Saccharomyces cerevisiae S288C: one gene and its partner. The gene in region 2 interacts genetically with the main gene of each other region. Each region holds a gene or a part of one and is shown on either strand. Other genes may lie near its edges.

Region 1 (4,808 bases), on a different chromosome or scaffold from region 2:
GTGATTGCTTTCATTGCATTGTTGCCATTGTTTTCTGGCATCGGTACATTCAAACTAACAAAACCGAAATCGTCTGCAACAGCACAGTCAGCGACTGGTAAGCTTGGTAAGAGGGAATATTTGAAAAAAAAACTTGATCATACCAATGTATTAAAGTTTGATCTGAAGGACACGGAGGAAAGCCTTGGCCATGACAGTGCAAGTGCCTCTTCCGCTTCCAGAAAATTTGAAATAGACTCAAAGACAGGCCTTAAAAGACGTGTAATTGGACAGTACAACAAAGATCCAAATGATTTCGATTTCGATATTGATGACCTAATTAACGAAGATGAACTAGATGAACGGAGAGAAGAAGAGAAAAAGTTGAAGAAGTACAATGGTAAGAAAAATGAAGCTTACGAAGGATTTGTATAATAATGGAAGTGATTTTTGCAATTGTCCTACAAAAACTTTAGACATTCGTAACTAGCTAAACAATTGATTTAACGAATAACGTAGACTTTTAATTATTCAATTTAATTATAGTTATTGTTATTTACACAATTACGGATATCGTATTTATAACTTAGTTTACATCTTTACCAGAAATATCTCTATGGTCTTCTGTTCTCTCGAACTTCATCTGCTCTTGACCTTCCTCTTGCTCTTCACCTTCTCCTTGCTCTTGGCTTTCCTTTGGCTCCTGGACTCCTTTTTGCTCCTGCTCTTTTTCATCATCTTCTTCATTATTACTCTGAATAGCTTCCAAATCATCCTTCATCTTCCCAGTTTCTTCATCAAAGTCATATTCGTAAAATAACATAAATACACCGGGTGTTGAAAGGACTTCAGCTTCGTCCACAACGTACACAGTCTCATCAGATATTCTCCACCAACAACCCCTGTATTTTCTAAATGCAATGTAATGACCATAATTATGGGTACCGTAGTGAACAATGACAGAGCGCAATGAATATGTCAATGGAGTGGCTGGAACTGTGGAAAATGACCTAGCATAATTGATAGGTGGAGCTGGTATAACATCTTCCTCATCAGATGATGTTTCTAGTTGATCTTCAACATTGATCTTTGGTTCGTCAAGGCTCACATTGTCGATTTCTTGCAGTTCTTCATTATCTTTTACATTCTCGTTTTCAACATCAGAATGTTCTATGATCCTTTTTTTGATTGTATTCCCTAAAGCATCGGTTTCTTCAATGTACTCATCTTCATCATCGGATGTCACGCCATCGACTTCACCGTTTAGGGGATCATAGTTACTGATATCCTTGGTATGATTGTAATGAGACGCATAGTTCCCCTCTGCGTCATCGTATTCTTTTTCTTCCTCGCTGTCTTCAAATTCCTGCTCGAAGCGTTCATGTAATTTCGTATAGTATTCACCGCCAATGTTTTCATCTTCACTTGAATCTTGTTGCGCAGCTTTTTCCTTTTTTGACATTGGCAAACGAGCATCCAAATTGATTTCATTAATATCACAACACCATGGGGCAAGATTCAACCTTGACTTAAACAATACTTTCGAGTTATTTTTTCTAATCATGTACGTTCTTGGATCAAATACGGATCTGTTGATATGAATGGATAATAATGGTGGAGGTCTTGATATTAAAATCTGCTTAGATTTAGAGCATTTACGTACCATATTTGCTGTATGCAACTTCTTATAATCTTCATCGTCAATAACTGGTTTGGCAAGAACTTCTTCGATTTGATGGACCCTATCTTTTACAGCGTTAATTAACTTTTCTGGGATCGAACCCTCAGGTTTTTTTTCAAATTCTTTCAACTGACCAAATAAATGAGAGTGCGCTGCTGTGAGGGCACAACGGTTACATTCTACGCCTTCGATGATTTCAGGTTTACTCCAGTCGCTTAATAACTGAGATAATTTTAAAGTGGAACCAATATTCTCGTTCGGTAAATTTAAGCTTAATCCCGAAAATACGGAATATCTTATGCCACCGTTCTCACCACACTGTAAACAACCAATTCTTTCTGCCGTGATACCATCTAAAGGAGTCATTAGTTTGAAAGGTGTGAAATTTTGAATGGACTTGTCATGTAGTATAGAGTTAGGATCAATCTGTTCAGTTGGAATGTAAACAGTGCCAACTTCACCAAGGTTAAGTTGACCTACTAAAGCATCATCGGGTAATTCTGATTTCGCAACTGGAGTGGTATCTAGTTTTTCAGTATTCAATGATTTAACGTTACTTTCCAACTCGGCTAGTATGTTCTGGAAGAATTCTTGCGCGTCCTCTTGGTCGTAGCCAAGAAGAATATTTTTTCTTGGAGATTTGGACATTGCTTTCAATAAACTATTGGTTTTGAAATAGGGTTTATCCCGATAATACTTCGCATTTAAGGCAGAAAGTAGATCCCTTAAGGCGACACTGAAAGTGATATCTGGCTCCTGGCTCTTTTCTTCGTCTTCTTTCGAACTTGACTTCCTATTCAATTTCTTCTTATGCTTACCATAAACTTTGCCACCCTTACGAGTGTTTTTCTTATGAGTGGCTTCATCTTGAGCAGATTCTTGCCCGTTTCCTTCTTCATTGTGTTCATTTTGTTCTATCTCCTCATAGGTCCTTATGACATTATTGTCCAAGAACTCCATTAATTCTCTGGATGATGCCAATGATTGCAAAACAGAGTTCATAAAACAAGTGTTACCATCATTAACTAAACCAGCAATGAAACCACCTCTTTTCAAGATCTCTTCGTCTAAGTGGGTAAACTTACTTCTGGGCAACCAACGGCTAAGGCTATTATTATTTCTGAAGTTTGTTGTCATTTCACTAACGCTCTCAACAATGTAGTTTAGATGGTCTGGTTTTTTATAAAAAAATACTACTATGCCAAAAATTAATAAATAAATCGATAGATTGTTATTGTTGTTACTCCAAGTTTTAAAATTTCTCAAAAAATCCTGTCGGGAACCAAATAAAAATTGTAATAAACTGTTTATCTTGCTTTCAATAAACAAATCCATACAAAATTTTGTAGATTAAAAGGGGAGAAGTGTTCGAAAGTATCTAGTTTCGAACAAGGGAGGGCACTGAAGACGTAAAATGATCAGACGTTATAATGGAAAAGAAAGGAGAAGCGAATTTTGACAATCGCTTCTATTCTTTGAATGTGTATAAAATTTTTTTTTCCTGAGAAAAAAAAGGACGCAGATCACAATATTAAAAGCAATACTATGGCGTGCTTTTAAAGCAAAAAATGTTTCTGTTTTTTAAATATATAACCAATAATTATTGTATAATAGATTTAACTAGCCTGGCCATCTTGAAAATTTTGTGGTGCTAGTGAAAAATGTATTTTCGTTTTCCAATGATGGAAAAAGAAACTTGCCTACATAGATGTCATTCTGTACGTAAAGAGGAAAAGAAGGGATATAGCAGAATACACGTATGAAGGTAGGAAGGTTTCCAACAGGCGCTTACTGGTAGTATGATATATGGACATTCAGTGACGTTTATGGGAAAAACATTACGGCTTACAGATCCGCAAAATAGTTATAGGCTCGAGGGAGCTGGCGGTATTGATCGAAGAAGCTGTCAAAATGAAATACATTTCTTAATGGCAGCTCTTTTACTTTGACTGGCAAACCTCTTTGCTAAGGAAGATCATAGGAAAGAGAAGAACGGTCTTCGCTTGCTTGCTTGCTGGAATTTTCATTTTCCTTGCTGTAGCTTCATCATGGCACATAAGGAGGAGGAGACTCAACCAGAGACTGTTTGTTGTCATGGGGAGCTGCGCCTTGTAACAGAGGAGTTTCAACGCTCGGGTATACGTTTCTAGCGGAGCTTCCTTGTTGTGGGCGGTTTTGGGGGGTCTGCGAGTTTTGAGGACGATTCGAAGGAACGTTTCTTTCGCTATCCACCCAGCCTTGCTGGTAATAATAGACGTATTCAGCGTTCCTTAAAGGACTTGTAATTGTGATGTAGTAGAATGCGTGTAACATACCGGGCAAAAATCCCAGTAGCGTTAGCAATACATTCAGGAGGAAATCAGATGAACAAGGCCCAGATCGAAGAAGGACTGCAGCTGGGGGGAAAAAAAACGCAACAATATACAGTATAAAGTCAGAAACGGTACAACAAACACAGTAGCAACACATGATGCGCGTCCCTATCTGTCTCTGCTCAGTGTGGCACCTTTATTGGGGAGATGCCCTCTTCCGGTATTTTTTGATGGCCTTTTATATAATGTACAGCCCTTTTTTCTTCCTCGATGCTGAAAAGTGGCGGGATGGGTAACGGGGTGATAAACCTGACAAAAAAAGTCGATTAATAAAGTTATACAAAACAAATATGACTCGTACATAAATTATCCGGTATTTATACTTTTTGAGCAGCGTAGTTGTATTTACCGTACAATTTATTCCAATACAATCTTAGCGGTTCATGTTCCAAGCCCAACTCCGTTATCTTATCGACTTCCTCAGCCGTCAAGTCGAAAGAGAATAAATTTTGCGCGTCAGAAATTCTTTGAGGTTTGGAAGAGGTGGTTACAGGCAACACGCCACGTTTGGTCACCCAACGTAGGATAATTTGGGCTTCAGATTTGATATATTTCTCGGATAACTCTTTCACGTATTCGAAAAACGGTTGAGAGTCATCTTGTGCTGTTTTCTTTTGTAAGGGACCTAGTGGCGAGTATGCTTCTACCAATATATCATGTTCTTGGCAAAATTTGTAGATCCCTGGTGTTTGATTCTGCAAGAAGGGACTGAACTCAATTTGATTAACTTGGGGCTTGACTTCCGCAACTTTCAGAATTCTTTGCAAGTCTTCCAC
Region 2 (3,081 bases):
ATGGTGTTTTCAAGCGATGAGGTGGAAAAAATTTCAAATAATATGTTTGGGTGTGCCCATTATTGCGGTTTACAATAGTTGCTAAAGAGCTATTTATTAGGAATTTTTAAACTTTAGAGATTGCTTAAAGCGACTTTAAAGCGTTTCTTTGGAAAGATAGGAGAGCGGATGCTATCTCAAGAGCATCTCTTCAATGATTTAAGCAGTGACAGTGTAAAACAATTACGGACCAACGAAAATGGTCAAATCAAAACTAATTACAATAAATAAGTTCTATCATAATACAAGGGAATTCTGTGCGATATAACCACATTGATTGAAGGTAGAATATACAAGCCAACGTGAGACCAATCAAATTTCGTTAAGTGCGCCTATACAAAAAGAAATCTTTTATGTAGATATGACAGTAAGAAAAGTATATATGTGAGCTAGCAGGGTATTGAAAGCGATCACAAGAAGGCAAAACGAAATAGATTGTTAGAAGATGAGTGAACAGAAGGGACATAAAGAAAAGATTTCCTTTACAATCTAGTAAATCTTCTTCTTTTCATCAACGGATAATTCACCAGCGCCAGTATTAGTAACTAATAGAAGCCCACCAATGATGCTTAAGTTCTGGTAAAACTCATACTTCAAGAAATCTCTCTTAGTATTGTTATAAAACCAGTAGTTGTTTAGCGTGATATTGTAAAAAGTTAGTATCAAACCCAACATAATGGATGCGAATTTTGTCTTGTAACCAATGGCGAAACATATTGTGCCGATAATGGTCAAAACAACAGTAAACCATGATTTACTGAAAGTGAAAGCGATAAACATTAAAACAATTAAAATTCTACCAGCAAACAACAGGTAACCCTTCGCTTTGTCGTTTTTGCTGTTTAATTCAGGAAGCATACCGAATGTTGTCTTGTTTTGAACAATTGAATCGCTGAATGCAATTAACAACCCACCAATAACACTAAAGTTTCTTAGGACAAATGATGAACCCGTAAACAACCCATAAACTAATGCTTGAGAAATAACGCAAGCACATAACACACCGGTGGCATAATTGGTTTGCTTTCTTAAAACTAACAAACTGGCGCCAATCAACATGGAAACGGTAACAACCACTAGAAACACAACGACAAAGAAGTATGGGTAATGCTTCCACTTATTCAGATAAAAAATTTGATCTGACCATTGTGATAAGATCCTAAACGAATCTTCATAAAAGGTGGCCACAATGAAAAATCTTGACAAACTTGGAATGTAAGGCTTCAATTTATAAACAACTGCATTGTCAGTGAGCCCCTCAATTCTGGAGGCAAACTTTTCAAAAGAATGCTTCCATTGCTTTAAGATGCCAGAAGTGGATTGGTTCTGGTTTGATCTGAATTGTGCACCGCCAGAGTATGGTCCTTGCGATGATGACATTGGCATACCGCCAAAATTTCCAATAGGTCCTCTGTAAGACATTGATCTATCCTTTCAGTTTTGTTTTCACTTTTTTTGAGTCGTACTAATTGCAGCTATTGTAAGTAAATAAGGACACCTTTGATCTTTCGTTAAAGGTGTCCTTTATTTTTCGCCTTTCTCATTATTCCCTCTTCTCTCATCTTCTAGAAATACCTAAAAAGGGAACCGTTACCCGAACCTATTCATTATAGAAATAAAAGAGAACGTTCTCTATAATATTCGTATACATTCGTATATATTCTATTCCATTTCTTACGGTATTCACACGAAGTAGGACAACAAGCTGGATGGTAGTTTGCCAGAATCGACAATAGTCTTTGCAGATTCCTTCAAAACTTCCTTGGCACCAGCAGCATTGGCCTTGATCTTATCGGCGGTGGACACTAACTCTTCGTCATTCAAACTGTCAACGATCAAACCAACTTGTTCGTCAATCGTGGTGGCCTTGTCAGCATCACCAAAGTAGTCAGCTTCCTTAGCAGAGTTACGGATGGCTCTCTTGTTCTTTTTCTTGGCGGCCTTAGCAGCTTCCTTAGCCTTCTTTTTGTCAGCTTTTGCGGAGGCGTTAGCCTTGGCTTCAGATTCAGCTTTAGCCTTCGCTTCAGCTTCGGCCTTGGCCTTAGCTTCAGCTTCAGCTCTGGCACCGGCTTCTCTTTCCCATTTTCTTCTTTCCTTTTCCTTCTTCTCTTCTTCTTTGAACATTTTGATACGGGGATCTTCACTGACAGCTCTTTCAACAAGTTTGACCAATCTAGCGTTATCAGCAGTCTTCTTCTTGTCTCTTGCGGCCTTGTTCTTTCTTTCAATGTAACGCTTGTGGTCTCTGTTAGAAGAGTCATCTGGGACATCTTCGTCCAAGAACTCAAAGGTTCTCCAGGAGTCAAATCTGTGCCAGAAAGCATAGAATTGTTCAACTTCCTTCTTGGAAGAATCTTTGTTACCTAGAGAAGGAATAGGAGTCTTCTTAGAAAAACGAGCTTCAGCTTCGAAAACGGGGCCCCAAGCTTCATAAAAGTCATAATCGGTACCCTTCTTTGGAGGAGGAACATCGGCAACAAAATCACATGAGTCGTACTGAGCTCTCTTGTTGGAATCAGTCAAAGTTTCAAAGGCCTTTTGAATAATCTTGAAAAAGCCATCTTGGTCCAAACTACCACCAGCAGCAGATTGCTTGTCTGGATGGTACTTGACAACTTGTTTTCTGTGAGCCTTGATGATTTGACTTTCAGTAGCTCTGAAACGCAACTTAGACAAACCCATAGCAGCATACAAATCGGCAGTTTTCCAGTCTCTAGCATCATGAGTCAGTAAATCTTCATCGGCCAATTCAGTGTCGAATAACAACTCATCTGGGTCGACATTGGATTCATCAACGGTTTTGACGTTCTTTTCAGCTTCAATTCTTTCAAATTCAGACCAGGTGTGGTTTCTCAAAGTTCTTTGAGCATGTTGCAAAAAGAACTTACCAACCGGTTCGACCGGACGACGGACGAATGGGGTTTTGGTAGCGGAACTGTTGACTTCAACAGTGATGTCTGAGGTTAGGGTAGGTAAAGAAAACATCGTTACTCTTGTTGGTATATGTGAGACAAAACGAAGATTTTATAAAAGCATCGGTAG

The links. Genes that interact genetically often act in the same process or in processes that back each other up.
Region 1: mutations in ERV29 (region 2) and UBP1 together harm fitness more than expected from each alone (negative genetic interaction), as found in Saccharomyces cerevisiae (2 studies listed by BioGRID).

The regions. Positions count from the first base shown.
Region 1 is NC_001136.10:240,739-245,546, reverse strand, and holds UBP1 (ubiquitin-specific protease UBP1), read right to left. Parts: upstream 2,996-4,808; coding exon 566-2,995; downstream 1-565. Other genes in the region: EXP1 (Exp1p), read left to right, coding at 1-414; SNA4 (Sna4p), read right to left, coding at 3,707-4,129; YDL124W (aldo-keto reductase superfamily protein), read right to left, coding at 4,350-4,808. UniProt on the Saccharomyces cerevisiae protein: Has an ATP-independent isopeptidase activity, cleaving at the C-terminus of the ubiquitin moiety in natural or engineered linear fusion proteins, irrespective of their size or the presence of an N-terminal extension to ubiquitin.
Region 2 is NC_001139.9:1,060,130-1,063,210, forward strand, and holds ERV29 (protein ERV29), read right to left. Parts: upstream 1,462-3,081; coding exon 529-1,461; downstream 1-528. Other genes in the region: ZUO1 (zuotin), read right to left, coding at 1,723-3,024. UniProt on the Saccharomyces cerevisiae protein: Constituent of COPII-coated endoplasmic reticulum-derived transport vesicles. Required for efficient transport of a subset of secretory proteins to the Golgi. The C-terminal di-lysine motif is required for exit from the endoplasmic reticulum.